3 linked regions of the Diceros bicornis minor genome follow. The protein of the gene in region 1 purifies or fractionates together with the protein of each later gene. This does not show direct contact. Links are inferred from orthologs where the notes say so. Each region holds a gene or a part of one and is shown on either strand. Other genes may lie near its edges.

Region 1 (6,601 bases):
ATGAGAGTGGAAATAAGGAAGCGTATTGTTGCTTAACTGCTACCTAAACTCCCTTGCTACTTTAGGATTCTTCAAATAAACATTTCTTGTTTTTTTTTTTGGCACTAGCTAACCTTCCCCTCTTCTCCTCCCATTCACTGCATTCTAGATCAATAAGTGGGAGTGGAACCTCCCAGAATATTGCAGGCATGGAGGGGTGACTAAAGGTAGCTGTACCCTGGGGCACCCAAAAGAGAGACGGTTATAACCAGTTATACTGAGTGAAGGAAATAGAGGGCAAAGATGAAGCAAAAGGTTGAGCAGCCAGAAGTTTTGTGTCTTTCTTCTCGAGGATGGAAATTCCTTGGTTAGGAGATTTTAAAAAAAGGAAGCTACCACTTCCATACAATAGTATACTATTTTCTGCTGGATTTTTTACTGCCTATCATCTTTATTGAGATTTGGGTTGACTTGAATCCACTTTTTCAAAACAAACAAAAACACACACAAATTCTCAAAACAGAGATGGGATCCTGGCCAACCATTTGTTTTATCACCACTCCCCTCTACTAGCACATAATCAGAAATTGAGTATAACACAAGAAATACGGGTATATAGTCAGCTCCACCAACATCAGTCCCCCGACTGATTGCTTATACCTCTTTCGTTTCCAGCTTCCACATAGATGAGCCTAGTTACCCTCAAACTTGCAAATTCATCCCTCTCCAAGATTCAAGACAAGAAAGGTTTGATTCAGGAAATACCTGAGTAGCCTAGCACTGACCTTTGGGCATCTGCTGTGAAGGCACTATGGCTGCTTTGTTGGTTACGATATTGATTTCCAGGGCTGAGCAGGCTGACAAGATGGGTCTTTACTCCCTCCTACTGGAGTCCTGTGTTATCATAGGGACACAGCGTCCTGGCCTCTATTTGGAAACTGGATTTTCCAGCTGATGTCCTGATATCCAGTTTTCCTCATTCATGATATTACTTTTCCATTTCTATAACTGAGCTTCTGCTTTTGAGGCTTTTCTGAGTGTCTGTGGTAGTAGTCTGCTCAAATCTCTTTCTAGAACAGAGGCTTTGTTTTCATCTTAAAGGCTCCTCTCTGCAAGGATTTTGGACTAGTGGCAAATTGGCTCTTGCCAGGACTCTTCTCCAGGTGTGAAATCCTGTATCTAACCCCCAGAATGATGGTTGGGGCCTACTTATTCACGGACAGATATCCAGATGAGCCCACTCATTTTTTGGACTTCTAAGTATTAACTATTGGAATGCCCCACGACTGTGTTCTAGATTCAACAGGACATCAAGACTTTGTTGATACTGGACCCTTGTTTGTCTTGAAGAAGCTAATTCAAGTCAACCCAAATCGTATCGATGAGGATGGTACTTGAACCATGTCGGAATATGGTATTTTCCTTTGGTATTCCGCCTTGCTGGCCTGCCTAAACTTTTGTTATTGACAAAAGCCTGCCCACCAAACCCCACCCTCCTCTACAGGTGGGTGTAGAAACAGGCCCAGGCCTCTGACTAATCCTATCTTGTTGAGAATAAATCACTACTTTTCACTAAAAATTCCCGCAATGTGATAACTATCAATAGTAAGGACAGTATTTTATTCCACTTCAGCATCAAAGTTGGTGGAGGCAGCATTGCTCAGTGGTTAAATCTAAAGACACTGGAGTTCAAATCCTACTTCCTCTATTTTTTGGTTAAGTGACCTCTAATTTTCTGCATCTCAATGTTTTTATCTGTAAAATTGAAATATATGAATAGTACCCATCTCATAGAGCATTCTGAGGATTAAACAAAACAATAAATGTAGACTACTTAGAGTAATGCCAGACATGTAGTGATTGTTCCATAAATGGTTAGTTATTACTATTATTGGTGGGAGATAGGAGAAGGGAGCAAGGGGAAGGGTTGAAGAAATAAGCCAGAAAGATGTGGAGAAAAGGAAGAATTAAAAGAATGTGAGAGAGAACATGTAGAGAGAAATGGGCATGGAGCAAATGTGGTAGACTCATTCTGTCTTCTATGCCAGAGAGTGGGTGGCTACTTGGAGGGACAGTCAGAGTCACAGTGATCACAAGTCCTGATGAGCAAGTTGAAATCAGAGCATGACTATGAATCTTGGTTCTTAGAGAAAACTTTTCCAATATGGAAGAGTCACGAGTTCACACACTCAAGACTTCTCTTATTTCAGTGATTTCAAGGGAAAATGGGGATTTCTAATCTTCTTTTCCACTGCTTCTCAGCTGCTTCCATTGCTCTGAATTCCAGGGAAGTGCATAAAATCAGTGTTAACTTCTAAGCCTAATGCTAAATATAAGGGACCATGTTTGCCAGAAAGAGCAGCAGGAGGAGTTTAGAGTATATTTCTGCACTCAGGAAATGTTTGTGAAATAATCTTTATGAGGTGAACAGATCCATTCAGCAAAGACAAATGATACATGAAAGTACTTCTGGTTTTACTTTTATGAAAAGAAGCCCCCACCCCCATTTCAGGGATCCCTGACAAAATAAATATCTTACCCCTGGTTTCCTCTCTTAGAGCCCCAACAGCCCACACCTCAGCTCAAACTCCCACCACCTTTTCTCCTGCTCCTGTTCCTTGGACCATCCCAGATGGAAGAGCCTTGTCCAGGATCTCTGTGCAATAAAGCCTTAGCTCTTCCTAATATCACGTGACAAGCGAATGTGAAAGACAACAGCAGCGTTAGCTAATATATGTTAGGCACTTACTATATTCAGGCACTGCGCCAAGTGTTGCACATGAATTATCATTTTGCTTCTCAAAACAATCCTATTGTACTGATAGATTCCCCATTTTGAAGTCGAAACAACAGGGAGAGCTTATGTGACTTCCCCAAAGTCACAAATCTGGTGGATAAATGATTCACTACTAGCTGATTGACAACTTTGACTTCAGTTTCAGTAGATGAGGCAAGTGTATATTAGAGCTGCCTTTTATCGTAGCATGTGTTAGCCCTTTGAAGAGCATCAAGGATCTGAAAACTTAAAGAGTGAGGAGGTCAGAAAGAGTGTAGAGCAGACAGAGCTATAGCCTTGGGGTGAGAAGAACCAATGTCCATTTCCAGCTCTACCAATTTCTGGTTGTGAAACTTCAGGTGAATTCTTTAACCAGAATCTTAGTTTATGCTTTTTTTTTGTTTGCATGATGGGATTAATAATATCTATCTTGCTTATTTCAATGGTTTTAGTATGGATAACACAAAAATGTAAGCATAAAAATTGTAGAATGCTTTGCAAAGTAAGTATTATCAAATGCCAACCTGTCCATCCCTTTTCTGGAAGATTGGGGACATCCCTAGATTTCCACTTAGGTTCTATCCAACTCTTTTCCCCGTCTACTTGCATTTTCTATCTGCCGTGTCAGAGTGAATAGCATAGGCTCCAAAAACTTGGCCTGCCTAGTGGTTGCAATCTCCGTGAAGATCAAAATAAAGGAACCACAGCTTTAAATGGTTCAGAACCAGAGAGACCAAGGTGCATTGACTCCACCTTTCAGGAAATCCTAACTCACTAGATTCTCTGTGTCCTAACTCATGCCAGGAATTTGGTAGTGCATTTTCAGAGCAGGCAAGTGATACGTTAAGTAGATTTAGAAATGCCAAACATAGTCAATTTTTATATAAATAAGGCAATTGCTTAGATTTAGTGAGATGATATATGCAGTGACAAAACTCTCCCAGAGCTACGTTAATGTCACATAGTTTTCTTTGTACTAACAACCAATATTCATTTTGTCCTTTACAGTTTACTGCTAAGCCATAAGTAAGAAAAACAGCCTTAGTTCAAGTTCTCCATTTCTTTTTTGAGACCTAACTTATTTGTAAAATAGGGATAATAATCTCTTTCTCATTTATTTCTGCGAGCTTTTGGAGGATACAGCAGAGGAATAGCTCTGAATGTGCTTTGAAAATAAGGGGAGCTTATAGAGATGAAGTTTTTACAATGATAATTATAGTCATGCATTACTCTAATCTGCTGGAGAAATAAAATAGAATTGCAGATGGCGTAGCTCTGTAAAAACTATATAACCAAAACTATATATAACCAAAAACTATATATGCCAAAAAGAAATTGCTTTTGAGCTATTTAAGGTTTTGGATTATTTCTTCTTGCCAGGATTTCTGGGTGGGTCTACCAAGTGCTGACTCTCCTGAGCAGAAGAGTTTGTCTCAGACCTGTGGAGACTGGACACAGACAAAATTCAGAAATATAAACTCTAAAGCTGAAAAATAGTTAGGTTTAAATCTTAAGTCTTTCCCCAGCCAGTTGGATCTCTTTTGGGACCCCCTTTTAAAACAGATCAAAAGGGAATTTCAATGTCTTCCTTAAGGGCAATTTCTAAAACTTAATAGAAAACTAGGAGGGGATCAGCAAGGGTCAGAACTCACAGGTTTGCAGGCAAAGGAGCAAGATCCCTAGGCGGCGCTGAGCCATCTTCTCCCAGAGAATAATCTGTAGACAACAACGGCACTCTTCAAGCAGAGTCAGTTTCACTCTAGTTTTCTTGCTTCTTTTTATAGCCATCTTTAAGAAAGGAAGTGTGAGTTAACTGTTTAGGAAACGTTTGTCTATGTATTGGGATGGTAGTTTTTTTCCTACTACGTAACATAAGGTGCCTAGCATTAATTAGTTATTTATCCAACAAATATTTATGGAATGCCTACTATGTGCCAGGTACTATTCTGGGCACTGGCAATATAAAGAGCAACAAAGCAGTTGATCTCCCTCCTTTCATGGAGCTCATGATACTGAACCTCTTAATCTCAAGTTCATGCACCCAATGTGCAGTAAGCCAAACACTGAGACATTGGTGCTAGGAAATGGAGAAAGATTTATTCGAATTGGCCGAAACAAGAAGGTGAGAGCATGAGTTCACTCAAATCTGCCTTCCCAAGAGCAGAAAGCAGGGGAGTTTTATAGAGCTAAGGGGCTTGGCAAGAGGAGATTTGGAGAAACAAAGGGGTCATTCCTGATAAGCCTTTGGGCAATCTGACTTCTGGGCTTCAAGGGCTGCTGGGGGCCAGCCATCTGGTGATTGTAACCTTCCCAAAGGCATTCTCTTTCTTCTGCAAAACAAGCTCACAAATCTTCTGCAAAATAAGCTCACGAATCCTCGAGACCCCTGAGTCCCCTCTCAAGTTAAACAGGAAAACAGCAAATTGCTTATTGAACATCTACAGAACCCTCAGGTACTTGACTTTACTCATACTCTTGTTGGGGAGATCAACAATTAAACAGGCAGTTCCAATACGGTGTGATAAATGTTGCAAGAGAGAAACTATGGGGAACTGGGAGAGCAGCAGGGGCATCTAACCCAGGCTAGGAGAGTGTGGGGAAAGCTTCATGAAGGAACTGAGAACTAAGCTGAGACAGATCTTAAGAGTAAGTTAGCATTATTAGGAGAAAGGTGGTGGGGGAGAGGGAATAGGAAGAATGTGTTGACACGATAGGAGCTTAACAAATAGTAGCAACCAATATTGCGTAATTATAGTTATATATAATAGTATATAATAGGATTACATATAAATCTACTATATATAGTTATATAATAATAATTACATAATTATTATATAATTAATATTATTATACTATGGTTGAGCTAGGTGTAACATAGGACTGTTCTCTAGTAGAGGCCCCCCTACTACCGATTAGAAGAAAAACAGGGGCCTTCTTTGTGAGGGGTGTCAGGGAGTGGTGATGGGAATAAATATTTGGGTCCAGAAGTCAAGCAGTTTGAATTTGGACCCAGCTGTTTTGAGGAGTGCTAAGAAAGCTAAGGATAGACCCTGAGACTTGGGGAATGAAGATTGTATACAGCCTTTCCCACTGGGAGAAGTCCTTAGCCAGCTAGCACATTTCTAGGCAACCTGAGCCTCCAGAGTCACTTACTGAACAATCTTGCTCATCATTCTCCGTATATACTTGTTCAATATTGAATAGTTGAGTGCCTTTATGTAGATATAGTGAACTTGTTACTGGCACATTGGGTCCTTGTTGTCGCCCAGGATGGAAATCAAGAGAGACAGCAAAGGGGAGTAGAAAAGTAAAATTTTATTAGCTTGTGCGCAGGAGAGGCACAAGGGAGCTGGTGCAGAAAGGAAAGGGACAAGTGACCAGGTTGTTAGGGAGCAGGAGTGTGGGGTTTTTATTAGGCAAATGTTGGGGAGGAGTGCCTTGTCATGGCATGTAGAGATGGCGTTGTGCTTGCGCCTGCGCTGTTGTGTAGCATGCTACTACATGTGACACATGTATCATTATCATGCTAGCTATCCACCCCTGGGTGTGATTTTTACTATGCTAATTGGGCTAAGGTCACCTTTGGTGGACTCCTGGGTGCTAGGGCGCATGCGTAAGCCTGGGAAAGTCCCAAAACTGCAGAATGTGGATCTTGATGGTCTCTATCTGATTCTCCTAGCTTGCGGATTGGTTATGGGCCTTATCTTGTTAAGCCAGGGCTGTGCGTATGGCCCTGTCTCGTTAGGTTCCTGTCTTAAACTGGGCAGCCATTTGGGACCAAAGAAGGATTGAAAATAAAAATGGAATTTCCCAAATTAATTATTTCTTTTCACAAGATTCAACCAT
Region 2 (6,601 bases), about 3.8 Mb from region 1:
TTTTTTGGTGAGGAAGACTCACTCTGAGCTAGCATCTGTTGCCAATCTTCCTCTTTTTTTGCTTGAGGAAGATCCACCCTGACCTAACATCTGTGCCAATATTCCTCTATCTTGTATGTGGGTCGCCGCCACAGCATGGCTGACAAGTGGTGTAGGTCTGCTCCTGGAATCCGAACGCGTGAACCTGGGCCACCAAAGTGGAGCACACTGGACTGAACCACTAAGCCAAGGGGCTGGCCCCAAGTTCAACTTTTTTTGAAAGTACACTCCACAGTGGTGCTGTGTGTTTCCTGCTGCATCAAATTAGTAGGCATTCAATATCTGGTTGTCCCACTCTTAGATGTGCTAAGATTGGTCAGTGGGTTTAGGTGGTGACAGCATGATCTCTCCCTTGTAAAGACCATTATCAAACATTTCCCTAAAGTTTTCACCCACTGACTATCTTTGCCTGAATTATTTAGTACAAAATAGAATTGAGATGGTTCTATCAGAGGGTAAATGCCTATACAAATTTGCTAGATATCGCCAAACTCTCCTCCATTGTAGTTGTAACCATTTCATATTCCAGCCAACAATGTATGAGATTTTATTCTATTTCACCCCAGCATGACCAACCCAGTATGTTTTCAAACTTTTGATTTGCACCAATATGATAGGTGGGAGATGTTATCTCAGTATGTATTTAATTTGCGTTGTTCTTATGTTGAGCAAGGATGAGGGCATTGGGTTTTGACACAGGAAAAAAAGGCATTAAAGACCCTGTGATGCTAAAGATCTTGAACATGCATCCAATTATTTCCTCCCTTATTTTAAAAAAAATATCCTTGCATCAAGCTTGGTAGCCAATTTCCTCTTTCATCAGTAAAAATTCTCTCCTGAACTGCCATAATTCCCAGGAAGTTAAATGGTGAATTGCCCAAGGCCACACAAGAGAAATCAGGATTTGAAAGCACATTTCTCTGATGACAAGTTCCTTGATTAGTGTCACTCCATTACACCACATTACACCAACCCTGGAGCAGTGGAACTTCCAAGGAGGAACGAAAATCTCCTACTAAGAAGTTCAATGCAAGACAGATCCCCAAGAGTGGGTGGGCAGCTCGTAAACAAAGCAGCAAGATGAAATAATCATCTGGGTTAAGAAAGCATTAAGAGAAGTAAGGATGATTCATGAGCACATGGTTCTATCTTTATAGATATATATTTGAGATATGTAGCAATTCCTATAGATATTTGGATAAGGCAGTTGAATAGGGAGAAATTCACATGCAGTTTATAACAACTGACATTGCGTGATGTTAATTGTGAGAGTTAGTAAATGTAATCCATTTTAAAACATTGGATGCTAGATATGCTTGCATGACTTCTTCTATCTGAAATTAATTAATTAAAAATTAATTAATTGATAATGTGTAGGATGGTTTTGTTGCTTAAAAAGGCCTTGGAGGAAATAGTGAGACGTTGGTCAAAGGGCGCAAACTTCTAGTTAGTAGATGAATAAGTTCTGGGTATCTAATGTACAGCATACTGATGATAGTTAATAATACTGTCTTATATACTTGAAAGTTTCTAAGAGAGTAGATCTTAAATGTTCTCACCACAAAAAAGAAATGGTATTTATGGGACAAGGTGGAGATGGTAGCTACTGCTATGGTGATAATCATTTTATAACGTATAAGTGTATCACATCAACACGCTGTACACCTTAAACTTACACAGTGTTATATGTGAATTTCAATAAAGTTGGGGAAAAACAGGCCTTGGAAATTACTCTTAGGGTTAACTCTGACCCTCGGATAACAGAAACCACCTTTCCCAAGAATGTCAGTTGATCAAAGTGGAAAAGGCTCAGCAGGAAAACAAAGGAATTTTCTCATCAACATCAGATTGTCTAAAGGGGGCCAAGTATCTCTGACTAGATAGACTTTTCTTGGTCTCTCTTCATGGGGACACATCACTGCTGTCCTCCAGGACGGGAACTTCAAAGGACCTGAAGGTCTTCAAACCCAAGCCTAATATCCTCTTTTCTTCCACCCAGAGAAGCATCCTTGCACTAACTTTGTATACCCAGATAATCCCTCCCACCTGCACCAGCTCCTTCCCCAAAAGGCACAGTGCCAGAGAATGTTAAAAATGGCCTTTGTTTACCAGTGGCTAGCAGCTTTAGCCAGGGAATGGGCTGTTCTCTGCTATGGTGTCCAATTGCTTTCTGTTTCCATTGACATCTGCCATTTTTCACGTCATTTGACCCATGGAAATCTTACCTTTTCAATTGTCCCATCGTGTCTAGACATATCTGGATTCATTCAGCATCCAAACACTTTTGAGCACCTGTTCTGAGCTAAGCATAGCATAATCACAGGCAGCTTCAGCAGAAAATGGGCACCTATTATAGCAGAAACAGTGGTGTGCTCTCTGGAAGGGACACCAGTAGCCAGAGAGAAGGGGAAAACTGGTGATTTAGGGTGATATACAAGGCTCCAACCCAGTGCCGGGGAGCTTGACTTCAGCATTGCAGCCCCATCCCCGTACATCACTGATTCTGTTGTGTAATCAAACATGCTCTCAGCCACTTCTGTGAGTCACACTTGGGCCACTTATAGGCTGAAAAGTCTTGGTCACTTTATCACCCCCACCCTTCTCATTTCCTGAATCTTGCGAAATTGGTGGAGTCCCACAGAACAACTTCATCTCATTGCTACCAATCAGAGGAGAAAGAGGTACCACAGCGGGCCCCATTAGGCCAGCTGCCTCCACTTCCCTTCTCAAGGCCGTCGCCCACTGGATTTCAGGGATACGAGAGGGCTCTCCATGGATCTGCCTTATTACCACGGGCCTCTGTCCAAGAGAGACTGTGAGACCTTGCTGCTCAAGGAAGGGGTGGATGGCAACTTTCTGTTAAGAGACAGTGAGTCTCTTCCAGGAGTCCTGTGCCTCTGTGTCTCGTGAGTAGCCTCATCTTCCATGCATTTGAAACTTTGTATTGAATGTAGTAATGATAACCAAAGTCCTAATGAGCAGGGTGAGAAATAGCTGGACACTGCAAGGAGAGGTTGGAAGGAATGTGTCTGTCTAAGCTTCTCCAGCTGCGCTTCTCTCCCTGGTACAAATGCCACAGGAGCAGACTCTCTGGAATAGCCAAAGTGGGGGGCAGTGGTGGTGAAGGGAAGGGCTGCAGGAAGCATGGGCGGTGAGGGGAAATGCAGAGAAGGTAGCCATGTGAGAAAGGTCCTTTCCAGTAGAAGTCACTTTATTTGGAAATATAACCGTATGGAAAAGGCTAGGGACCTTTTATGAAATTTCAGCTTGAGAGAACACGTTTTTACATGTATTCTGCTGGCTCCACTTGCAATACTTAAAATACTTATTATATTTCAAATTTTGTTAGATTTGTAAAGGGCTTCACACACATCATTTCCTTTCATCCTTCTTGTCATCTGTCAAGGCAAGCATAAGCAGTCCCCATTTTCTAGATGAGAAACAGAGACCTGGAGTTCTCAAATGACTTGCTTGTGTTAAAATTCATCTGGCATTTCCAAAGGTCTGAGTTCAGTATGAAATTCCAGGCCAGAGTATCAGAGCTACCATGTTTAGCCCAGTTTAGAAAGCAATTCAGAACACATATCAGCGGGAATCCACTATCTTTAAGTATCCTCCTCTTTACAGAGAACACTGAACTTTTTCTTCTACCTGTTATAGGAATTAAAACTCAAATTTCTCTATGGATGCACTTCAGTGCTTCTTAGAATTAGGGAGCTATGAGTACAAATTCAAAGAATGATGACATACCATTTTTGCCTATTCAATGGGCAAGAATTAAAACTATGAAAATACTCAGAGGTAATTAGAGTGCTGGGAAGCAGACAGCCTTGCACACGCTAATGCAGCCTCTTTGGATGGTAATGTGGCCAAAACATAATATACATGGATATAACCCTTGACCTCAAATTTCACTAATAAAAATCTATCTTATAGTTATGACTCCACAGTATGTGCAAATTGGCATTAACAAGATTGGGCAAATCTATGTATGGTGTGAAAAACCTCTAAGATCTATTGTTGTGTAAAAAAGGCAAGATGCAAAGTTTGATTCCATTTGTGTAAAAAAAAAAAGATACCTATATCCTTGTATATTCATATAAAATTTCTAGAAGGTATACAAGAAACTTATAATAGTGGTTACAGCTGGGAATTTAGATGGAGTGAGTTAGGAAAAGGGTTGTGGATTCATTCTTTTCATTTGATAACTTTTTTTTACTGTTTAAATGTTTTATTTGTGTGCGTATTATTTTTGTAATTTAAAAAATGTCTATAAAAATGTAGTGAATACCTACTATCTATTCAAACACTGTGCTAAGGCCTGGGAAGATTCTAAGGTGATTTCAAGCCTTCTAAGAAGGCTTAGAGGAGGTGGTATTTGAGCTGGGACTTAAAGAGTGGGTAAGATTTGGTTACATGGAAATGGGATGGAAGGCGTTTTAGGGAAGGGTGGAGGTAGGAAAAGAGGTCTAGAATAGAATATTTTAAAGCACACATGAATCACGTAGGGTGCTGGAAAGGTAGTTTGGAAACCAACTTTCAGAAAAGTAGGTGTAGCATAGTATTATGGGGTCTTTAAAAAAATGATTCTGTAGCTAATGGGGGAACATGGATGGTTTCTGAGCAGAGAAGTGACAAGACTGGTGCTGAGTTTAGGAACTCCAATCTGATATGGAGAATGTACCGAAGCTGACAGATGATGGCCATAGAGACTGTTGTGTCTCTGGATGGGAGATGGGGAGGAACTAGCTATGGTGGGGCAAGCAGTGGGAAGAGAAAAAAGAAGAAGTTGCAAGGGTGTGACCTTGACCAAGATCTCAGGGTAAGTAGTCTATTTTGGGATTCTCTTTAAAAATTGACATTTATTCTCAACTGTTCTGTGGTGTATCAATCTAGCTTATATATTCATCTAAAGAGAAAGTCACTAAGAAATGTAAAAAATAATAATAATAAATCAAATGGAGAGGCAAGAACCAATATTTGTTGGGCACCTGCACATGATCAAGCCTCACCCTACTCCTTGCCCATGTCACTGAAAGGCAGACAAAATTTCAGGAACCCTCAGGCTTAAGGCTCAGGCCAAATAGCCCACATCAAAATGGCTCTCATCATAGTCCTTGTGAAATTTTGTTATCACACAGATCAGTACAGACCATTCAATTCTAGTTGCTCAACAATTATTTAAAGTCTCTCTGGGCCGGCCTCGTGGCTTAGCGGTTGAGTGCTTGCACTCCGCTGCTGGCTGCCGGGGTTCGGGTACCGGTCGTGCACCGACGCACCGCTTGTCCGGCCATGCTGAGGCCGCGTCCCACATACAGCAACTAGAAGGATGTGCAACTATGACATACAACTATCTACTGGGGCTTTGGGGGAAAAAAATAAATAAATAAAATTATAAAGTCTCTCATATGCCAGGCACTATGCTAGACCCTCAGTTGGTGCCTTCAACACCGCTCAGAGCCTGGAGGAAGCAATAGGGAGGTAAATGGACACTGTGAGGTGTGGGATAACTGTAATGACCACTCTCAGCAGGGCAACTTCTAGTTTTCACAGACTGAAATACAAAAACTATAGGAAAGGTTAGAAATAAAGGAAGGAAGTCACAGAGACAGTTGGCCCAGCAGGATATAGCATTGACCAGAAAGCTATGTGGTAACAGTGGACAGGAAATCTTACCTGATCTCAGTATGATATAGCTTCCAGAAAACACCAACGTGCAAAATGTTGTCTGTGTAGTGTGACTTTGTGGGTGTCAGAAGTTGAAGCTAGGTCTGCCTTTAGAATCAGTACAGTCAAAATGAAGTGGATATTAGGAGATGGAAGGGACTCATCTGCAGCGTGAAGGTGAGGAGAGACTTTCTGTAGCCGCAGGAAGGCTGCAGGTGAGAAGAACCTGAACCTTGACTTACTGCACGAACTCACTGAGGAGGAAACAGCAATAGAAAGAATGAGTAGAAGAGACCTCAAGAGTCATCTCCAGCTCTCAGATTTTGAGCTCTTTGGAAAGACTCTAGAGTTCAGAAAGAAAAAATAATTCAAAATTTTTGTTGTTTTAGAAAATCAAATGCAGAGAAAGAATAAAAAGGAAAGCAGAAATTATCTCAATCTCACCACTCAGAAATCACGCTTTCTGATATTTCAGCACCCATCTCTCCAGACTTCTCTCTATGCATATGCACGTATAAGCAAATATATATGTGCATAAATGGTTCATGTTACATGATGGCCTGTTTCTTTCAATGTATTGTAGGTATCTTTCCACGTCAGAGAAAGCCAATACACATCATCCTTTCACGACCGCTTAGTATTTTATTGATTGGATATATCATAATTTAGACATAAGCACACAATTAGGTTATTTCCAATTTGGTCCAATGGATCCAATGTAATTTGAGACTATTAACATTTTTGTACTTACATCTTTGAAAGCTTGCCCAACTCTCTCCTTAGGATAAAATCCTAGATGTTTTAACATTTCTACACACATTGACAAATGAGTACAACAAAAGGTTGTACCAATGCACATTCCAATCAAGATCAGTGAGAAGGCCAGAAGTCAAAA
Region 3 (6,601 bases), on another chromosome or scaffold:
TGGTGATCATGTATACATCAAGAATCCTAAGCTGTGCATGTTTTTTGACCTAGAAATTGCAAGTCTTGAAATTCATTATAAGAAAGTAATCATAACACAAGGAAACCTTTATGGACTGAAATACGAATCATGACGGAATTTATAATAGCAAAAAATGGAATTATTCAAATATCTAAAAATAGATGACTGGTTAAGGAAAATATAGCATGTTCACTGGTTGGACTATCACGCAACCATTAAAAATAATGTTTTAAAATCGTTCATAAGAACATTATATATGAATGGAGTTTTTTCATGTTAAGTGGAAAATGAAGCAGAATACAATACTGTAAGAGCATGTGTGTTTACGAAGCGTTTTTAAATTAAAATAAAGAAGAAAATCCACTTAATTTTCAACACTAATTGTCCTTAGTTATAAAACTATAGATGATTTTTCCTTCATTTCCATTATCTACATTTTTCAAATTATCTATAATACGAATAGGTATTAGGAACTATTTTTAATAGACTTATTATACAAAAATCTAAACTTATTTATTGCAAATAATTGGAAGAAAAATTTCTCTCTTTAAATGAAGGTGAGCAATACCATAAATGGAAAACTTCTTTAGTACTTTATGAGATGCAATTTCCCAAAACTGAAGAGAGGAAAGGACATATCTAGAGGCCGTGACTGGGGGTTCAGAACTGGGAAAAGGAGCGAGCATAGTTTGCAAGCATAGTTTAAAGTACAGTTCGAAAGGCATATGCAATGTGTTATTCCACAATAAAAGTACAGAAACTAAAGCTCAACCAAACCTTCCTGGATAATGGGAATAAACAAAAGACAGAATGAGAAACTATTCTGAACCAACCCTACAATCAATGCATGTTTATTAGCTATACCTTGCTGTTCATGTGTATAGGACACCATTTATATTGTTATTTCTACTGCATATCATAAGCATATACATTTTTGTTTAAAATGAGTACGTGGTTTATTTCAAAATAAAATTTAATTTTGTTACTACAGTGTAGTACTAAAAAGGGGGAATAAAATGTTTACGTTTATCAAAAGGGACTCTTGGCTCAAAAAGGTTGAGCAACTGTCATAAAAGGCAATGTATCCTTGTGTCTTCCCTCAGCAGCACAGTGTGGCAATCACCCTCTAAGACGTGGTGGCTCCAGTGCGCCCATCAAAAGACATGCTAGACGGACTCCCAATTTGCCTATTATTTTTTTGCTACTTCATAAAGAGGTTTGCATGGAGAACTAAGAGTCATCAAAACTGCATTTATGTAAGATTCACTTTGGGTGAAAACTTAAATGTTTGAGAATTTCCCACCAGCCTAAATTAATTCCATATGTGGTCCTGGCCTACATGGGCAAAGGCCTAGAGTTGTCCACCTCTCTTGAATATTTTACCAACAGTAATCTTATGCAGAAGGTGGGGCACACATCCCTATTCCTGTTTTACAAATATGGAAACCAAGACCCAGAAAAGTTGAGTGACTTCTCGAGACTACACCCTGGCCTCCTGATATCAGCCCAAAGCTCTTTGCAGTAAAGAACAGTATTTGCCTTGACAATTCATTCATTAATTCAAAAATATTTATTGAGTGCCCATTACATACCTCCTAATGTGCATCATAATGCCTATTATGTGCCAGGCTGTGTTCCTGGTGCATGAGAAAATGTCCCTGCCCTCGTGGAGATTACTTTTTAACAGGAGAGCCTAGCAATAAATAAATAAACAAGGAAATGTCAGATAGTTTAAAGCTCCTTGAAGAAAAATAAAATAAAGTGATAGAGTGTAACAGAGACGGAGAGAGGGCACTTATTTTAGATAGGGTGGTCAAGGAAGTCCTCTCTGAGGGACGAGGCGGAAGGAACAGTAAGTGCAAAGATCCTAAGAGGGGAGCATGCCTGGCAAGCTTAAAGAACAACAAAAAGGCCAGTGTGGCTGAAGCCTTAGGCGCATCTTGCCACACACTGTCCCCTGCTCTCCCTCCCCTGCCCAGGCTTCTGTACCTTACTTTTGACCTCTAGGTTAAGGGGCCCATTACCTCCTACGTCAGCTTCCCTAAAGAAGCCCCTTTTGCTGGCCTACTCACTCCTCCACCTTCTTTTGATAAGAAAAGGGCCTAAGAATACTAGTTGGTTTTCATTGACCTTGCCCAGTTTCCACCTGGGAAAAACAATAATATAAGCAAAACATAAAGATCTGAGCCCAAGAGATTCAACGGCTTCCACGTACTTCCCTTGAAGCCTTTATAATAAATGTATTTAGCATGGCCTGAGAGTTGCCCCACACATGGCTTGACCATTTAAAAAAATAAAGAAAATCCTCTAACACCTCAGCATAATCTTTCTTCACTGACCCAGAGGGTACTTCAAAAGCTCACAGTGTATCATTAGGTACCAAAATTACTACCAAGAATTTTCCCTCATTTTGTTTCTGTCTAGAACCTATTGTGCAGAGCCAGTCTTTTCATGGCTATTTTTATCCTGCTGACAAAAAGTGATTGAGCTAGGTACTTCCTTAGAAATGCCCCATGAGTACTGAAAGAAATCGACTGAAGAAAAGCATATATTAATAACTACAGCTTACATTTACTATGTATCAGGTCCAGTGCTAAATTTTTTACTTGCATTATGGCATTTAATCCTCACAATCCTATGAAGTAGGTAGTCATATTATACCCATTTTATGGACCAGAAAACTGAGAGACTGAGAAGTTAACTTGCCAAGGTCACAAGCCTAGCATTGGACAAGCACAGGATTAAGTCTCAGTTCTGCCTGACTCTGGAGCCCTGGAGCAAAGATGAAGGTGCATCTGCTTCAAAATGAGGTGTCAGACTAAGACATGCCTAGGTAAACGGCAAAGTTGAATCACAACAAGGGTGTTTTCCCTCCATGCCCTTTACGACTGTTGTCAGTCCTAGTTTATATCAAGAAAGGGTCTTATTTCTGAAACCCCCTGCCCCCACACAACTCCTCTAAAGGAAGCTAAATAAGCAGATCCAGAGAGTCAGTTTCACTCACAAACATCTCCGTCTCGGCGTCCTGACCTAACTGGCATTGCATTCTTAGTAGTGGATTCAGTTTCTTAGTCTTCTTCCTCTCCCTGAATGTGATGGTCTTCTTTTCACATGACACCTCCGAATCCATTTAAAGAGATCTAGGGAGAGGCCCTTCATTCTCTCAGGAGCTGGTGGCCCCAAATCTGGCCTGTCCACCCTCCTAGGGTTCCAGCTTGCTGGCCTCTAATGGAGGTCAAAACGGAATTCGGGAGTCTGGGTCTTTCTCGGAGCAAAGGTAAATTCTAGGCTGCGTTTCCCTACCCCAAAGGGCATTCTCTGCAGCTGCCCTAAACGGCCCGGGCGAGGCCCTTCTGGAGAGCGGGAGGGCCCAGGGAGTGAAATCTCCACTGGGGGCCTAGGCCAAAGCATGGTCCACCACAGCCCTGGGCTGGCTCTGAGAAAGCCCTTAGGGCTCTCTGGTGGGCAGTGGAGGAGGCCTCGACGAGCTCCTGCTGCCCACCCGTTGCCTACTGAGGCCTCTGGCCCCCCGCCGCCCGTGCCCACTGCCCGTGCCCGCTGCCCGTGCCCTCTGCAGGCCCCAGCCCCAGCCGCGGCCGCGACGTACTCACAGCACACACAGGCAGTACACGCCCGGGACACTCTCGCTGTCCCTCAGCAAATAACTGCCGTCCAGACCCGTGGCGAGCAGGAGCTTCTCCCCGGTCTCCCGGCTGATTTTGCCATGATACACAGTCACCGCATCCATGGCTTGGTGGACTCTTGGGCGGGCCGAGGCGTGGGACGGTTGAAGGGATGGCAACCAGGCACGAGTCAGCCACCTGACTCCCAGTTCAGCCAGATGTGCAAAAAAGAGAGGGGAGCGCCCTAACAACAGGATGTTGTCTACCTGCCTTAAAACCTCCTTCTCACACTTCAATTAAAACCTGCTCAGCGATTCAGCAGCTTGGTTATCGCCACAGGGTTTGATCCCCTCCCCACTCGCCCCTCCTAACCCGCCCCCCCCAAAAAAAAACAGGGTTCATACGGAGAGGGGAGGACAATTGGAAGAAGGTCCTTGCAAGATGTGGGCGGCACTGCCAATGCAGACCCTTGCACGCAGGAATGCTTGATAATGCTTCTGTTCTTGCATTTTCCCAGGGACCGAACACCAGGGGTGACTTAGCTTAACTATTCCCAAAAGGGAGTGATGATAGAGGCAAGTTGTACATGGCCTTCATGCGGGCAGAAAAATACTGACAGAGAATGAAAGGGCCAAAAGCTCTGAGACCAAAACTGAGCATAGCCAGGAGGCTCCTACAGAATCAGAAGTAGTAGGTGAACAAGGGACTTGGGGCAAGTATCTTCTCTCCCTCCCTAGGCCCCCTCCTCTTCTGCTCCTCCTAGTCTTCTTGAGCAATCTTGATCTTGAACAAATACAGATTTTTCCTACCTTCTTGTCCAAGATCCCAAAGTGCTGCTTGAGGTACAAAAATTACTCTATGTCCAGACATGTTCCAGATTTAGCTATTTGATGGGCCTTGAATGAGAGAATGTATCATTTAGTGGTGTTTTGTCTTTATGTGGACTTGTATATGCCCTCTGATGTCATAGGGCCCACCTTTCAGAATTTGGGGCATAAAACTTGTTTTAAATCATATTGCAAGTGTTGATAATTGTGTTGTAACTTTTATCCTCTGTTGTTAATAGAGAATATGTTTTTTCTCCAGTTGATGCTAAATTATCATTAATTTTTTAAAACCTTTCAACCTTCATTTCCTTCTCTGAAATAAAGCCATGCTTTTATTTCAAAATGTGCTGTTAAGTAATATTTCCCGTAAACTTCCTCCTTTTTCGCTAGAATAAGACTTTGTTTAATGCTTGAAGCTGAACGGTCTTATACATTTTTCCTTTTGATTATGTAAAATACTTTTAAAATTGGAATTTAAATAGCTGAAGTTACGTTGTCTGTTGTATATCTTCCACAACTTCAGCGCCTAGTTCCTTGAGAACACGGCAAGGCTGGGAGTTCGAAAGGGAGAACAATTTTTAAGTCCTCACATGTCCTACCAATGGATCGGATGCACAGAGCTGCCTTTGCACCAAAGCTAGATATTTGCTATCCTCCCGCTAGGGTTGAGAATAATCCTCTAAGATTTCATTGGCAGCTCTCCTTCTTGATTGAAGTATGCCCAGCCTTAGAATCTATCAATCTTAGTAGATAAAACATGAACATAAGCCTCCTACAGTCATTTGCAATACCAAAATTAAAAAATAAATAAATAAAATAGCATTCAAGATGATATTTGGGGATGGCTCTGGGGAATTGAATCAAGATTGTCTTATCATCTTCCTACCTCATTCATTTATGGCCAACTCCACCTCTCATCCTTTTTCACGCTTTGGGTTAAGGAAGAAATTGACCTGATAATACACCAATGTTAAGGATGTGAGAGGTTAGTCCACCCTGAAATCTTTATATTTTGAGCAGGCAAATGCTTAGCCCAGAGAAATTAATCACAATGGTGGAATTTCAAACACGAAAGGAAAAGGTAGGGAAGGGGATCCCCTCATCCAATCCATATGGACAACAGCCCGCCTGTGAGGTAAACTGTGAGAACATTCAGTGTCACATAGGTAAAAAGAAAACTCCAGCCTTTTTGTCTCTGAACAACCCTGAACAAATCATCCGCAAACTTAAGAACAGAGCAACCTGGATCTGACAGCAAAAGCGTACCATGCATTCTTCTTTTCGTTCTCTGTTTTGTTCCGTATTGCTAAAATAGCACAGCTGTCAAAGCACCCAGGTACGGTGGGGTTCAGCACAACTAAAATCGTATAATAAAAGAACAGACAAATTATAAGGTAATAGTACAACTCTCACATCCAGTCCCTCATTGTCATCTCACAAGCAAGCTGACAGCTGAGCCAGCCCACTACTGCAGTGTTGATGAAAAACACTGACATCTTCACTCTAGTGCTACACCGTTACTAAACCTGACTTGAGCAAATTCAAAACTTCACGCTGAGCTTGAAGTGTGGAGAAAGAGAGATTGAAATGGCTCTCTTCCTTCTCTCTCACCATACCTACAAGAGAGGAAAGGGGAAAAGCTGAAAGAGGGGAGCAGTAGAGATAGTGGAGGCACCAATAGAGAAAGAGTTAGGAAGAATGGGCCCCAAATACAAGTATAATCCACTTAGAAGCGGACTTATCTGATTGTTTATTGTCTGTCTTCCCCACTAGAACATAGGGTCCATGACATCAGGATTTTGTGTACCTTGTTCACCACTGTGTAGCCGGCATCTGGCACATATTAGATGCTAAATGTATTTATGAGTGAACAAATGAATGAACTTAGTGCTCTCAAGAAAATAAGAGAAAAAAATACACACACACACACACACACAAATTTGATTCTCCATGCCTCTGGCCCACCTTTGAAATGGCAAGATGAATTGGAAGGAGGACTAGTCCAGCAATTATGAGAGTCAAATTATATTCCATATTTCGCCACTAAATCACTTCCTCTCTCTGAGTCTCATTTTCTCCATCTGTCAAACGGAGTTGAACCAGATGACCCCTAAGGCCACTTCCAGCTTT

The links.
Region 2: the proteins of CD84 (region 1) and SH2D1B purify together in Homo sapiens (affinity purification with western blotting; 3 studies listed by BioGRID and IntAct, with this or other methods). This does not show direct contact. The link is inferred for Diceros bicornis minor from reciprocal best matches to the Homo sapiens genes CD84 and SH2D1B.
Region 3: the proteins of CD84 (region 1) and SH2D1A purify together in Homo sapiens (affinity purification with western blotting; 4 studies listed by BioGRID and IntAct, with this or other methods). This does not show direct contact. The link is inferred for Diceros bicornis minor from reciprocal best matches to the Homo sapiens genes CD84 and SH2D1A.

What each region holds. Positions count from the first base shown.
Region 1 is NC_080743.1:65,189,406-65,196,006, forward strand, and holds the start of CD84 (SLAM family member 5), read right to left. Parts: upstream 4,483-6,601; 5' UTR 4,454-4,482; coding exon 4,408-4,453; intron 1-4,407. UniProt on the Homo sapiens protein: Self-ligand receptor of the signaling lymphocytic activation molecule (SLAM) family.
Region 2 is NC_080743.1:69,029,194-69,035,794, reverse strand, and holds the start of SH2D1B (SH2 domain-containing protein 1B), read left to right. Parts: upstream 1-2,733; 5' UTR 2,734-2,811; coding exon 2,812-2,945; intron 2,946-6,601. UniProt on the Homo sapiens protein: Cytoplasmic adapter regulating receptors of the signaling lymphocytic activation molecule (SLAM) family such as CD84, SLAMF1, LY9 and CD244. In SLAM signaling seems to cooperate with SH2D1A/SAP.
Region 3 is NC_080781.1:114,109,098-114,115,698, reverse strand, and holds the start of SH2D1A (SH2 domain-containing protein 1A), read right to left. Parts: upstream 3,926-6,601; 5' UTR 3,770-3,925; coding exon 3,633-3,769; intron 1-3,632.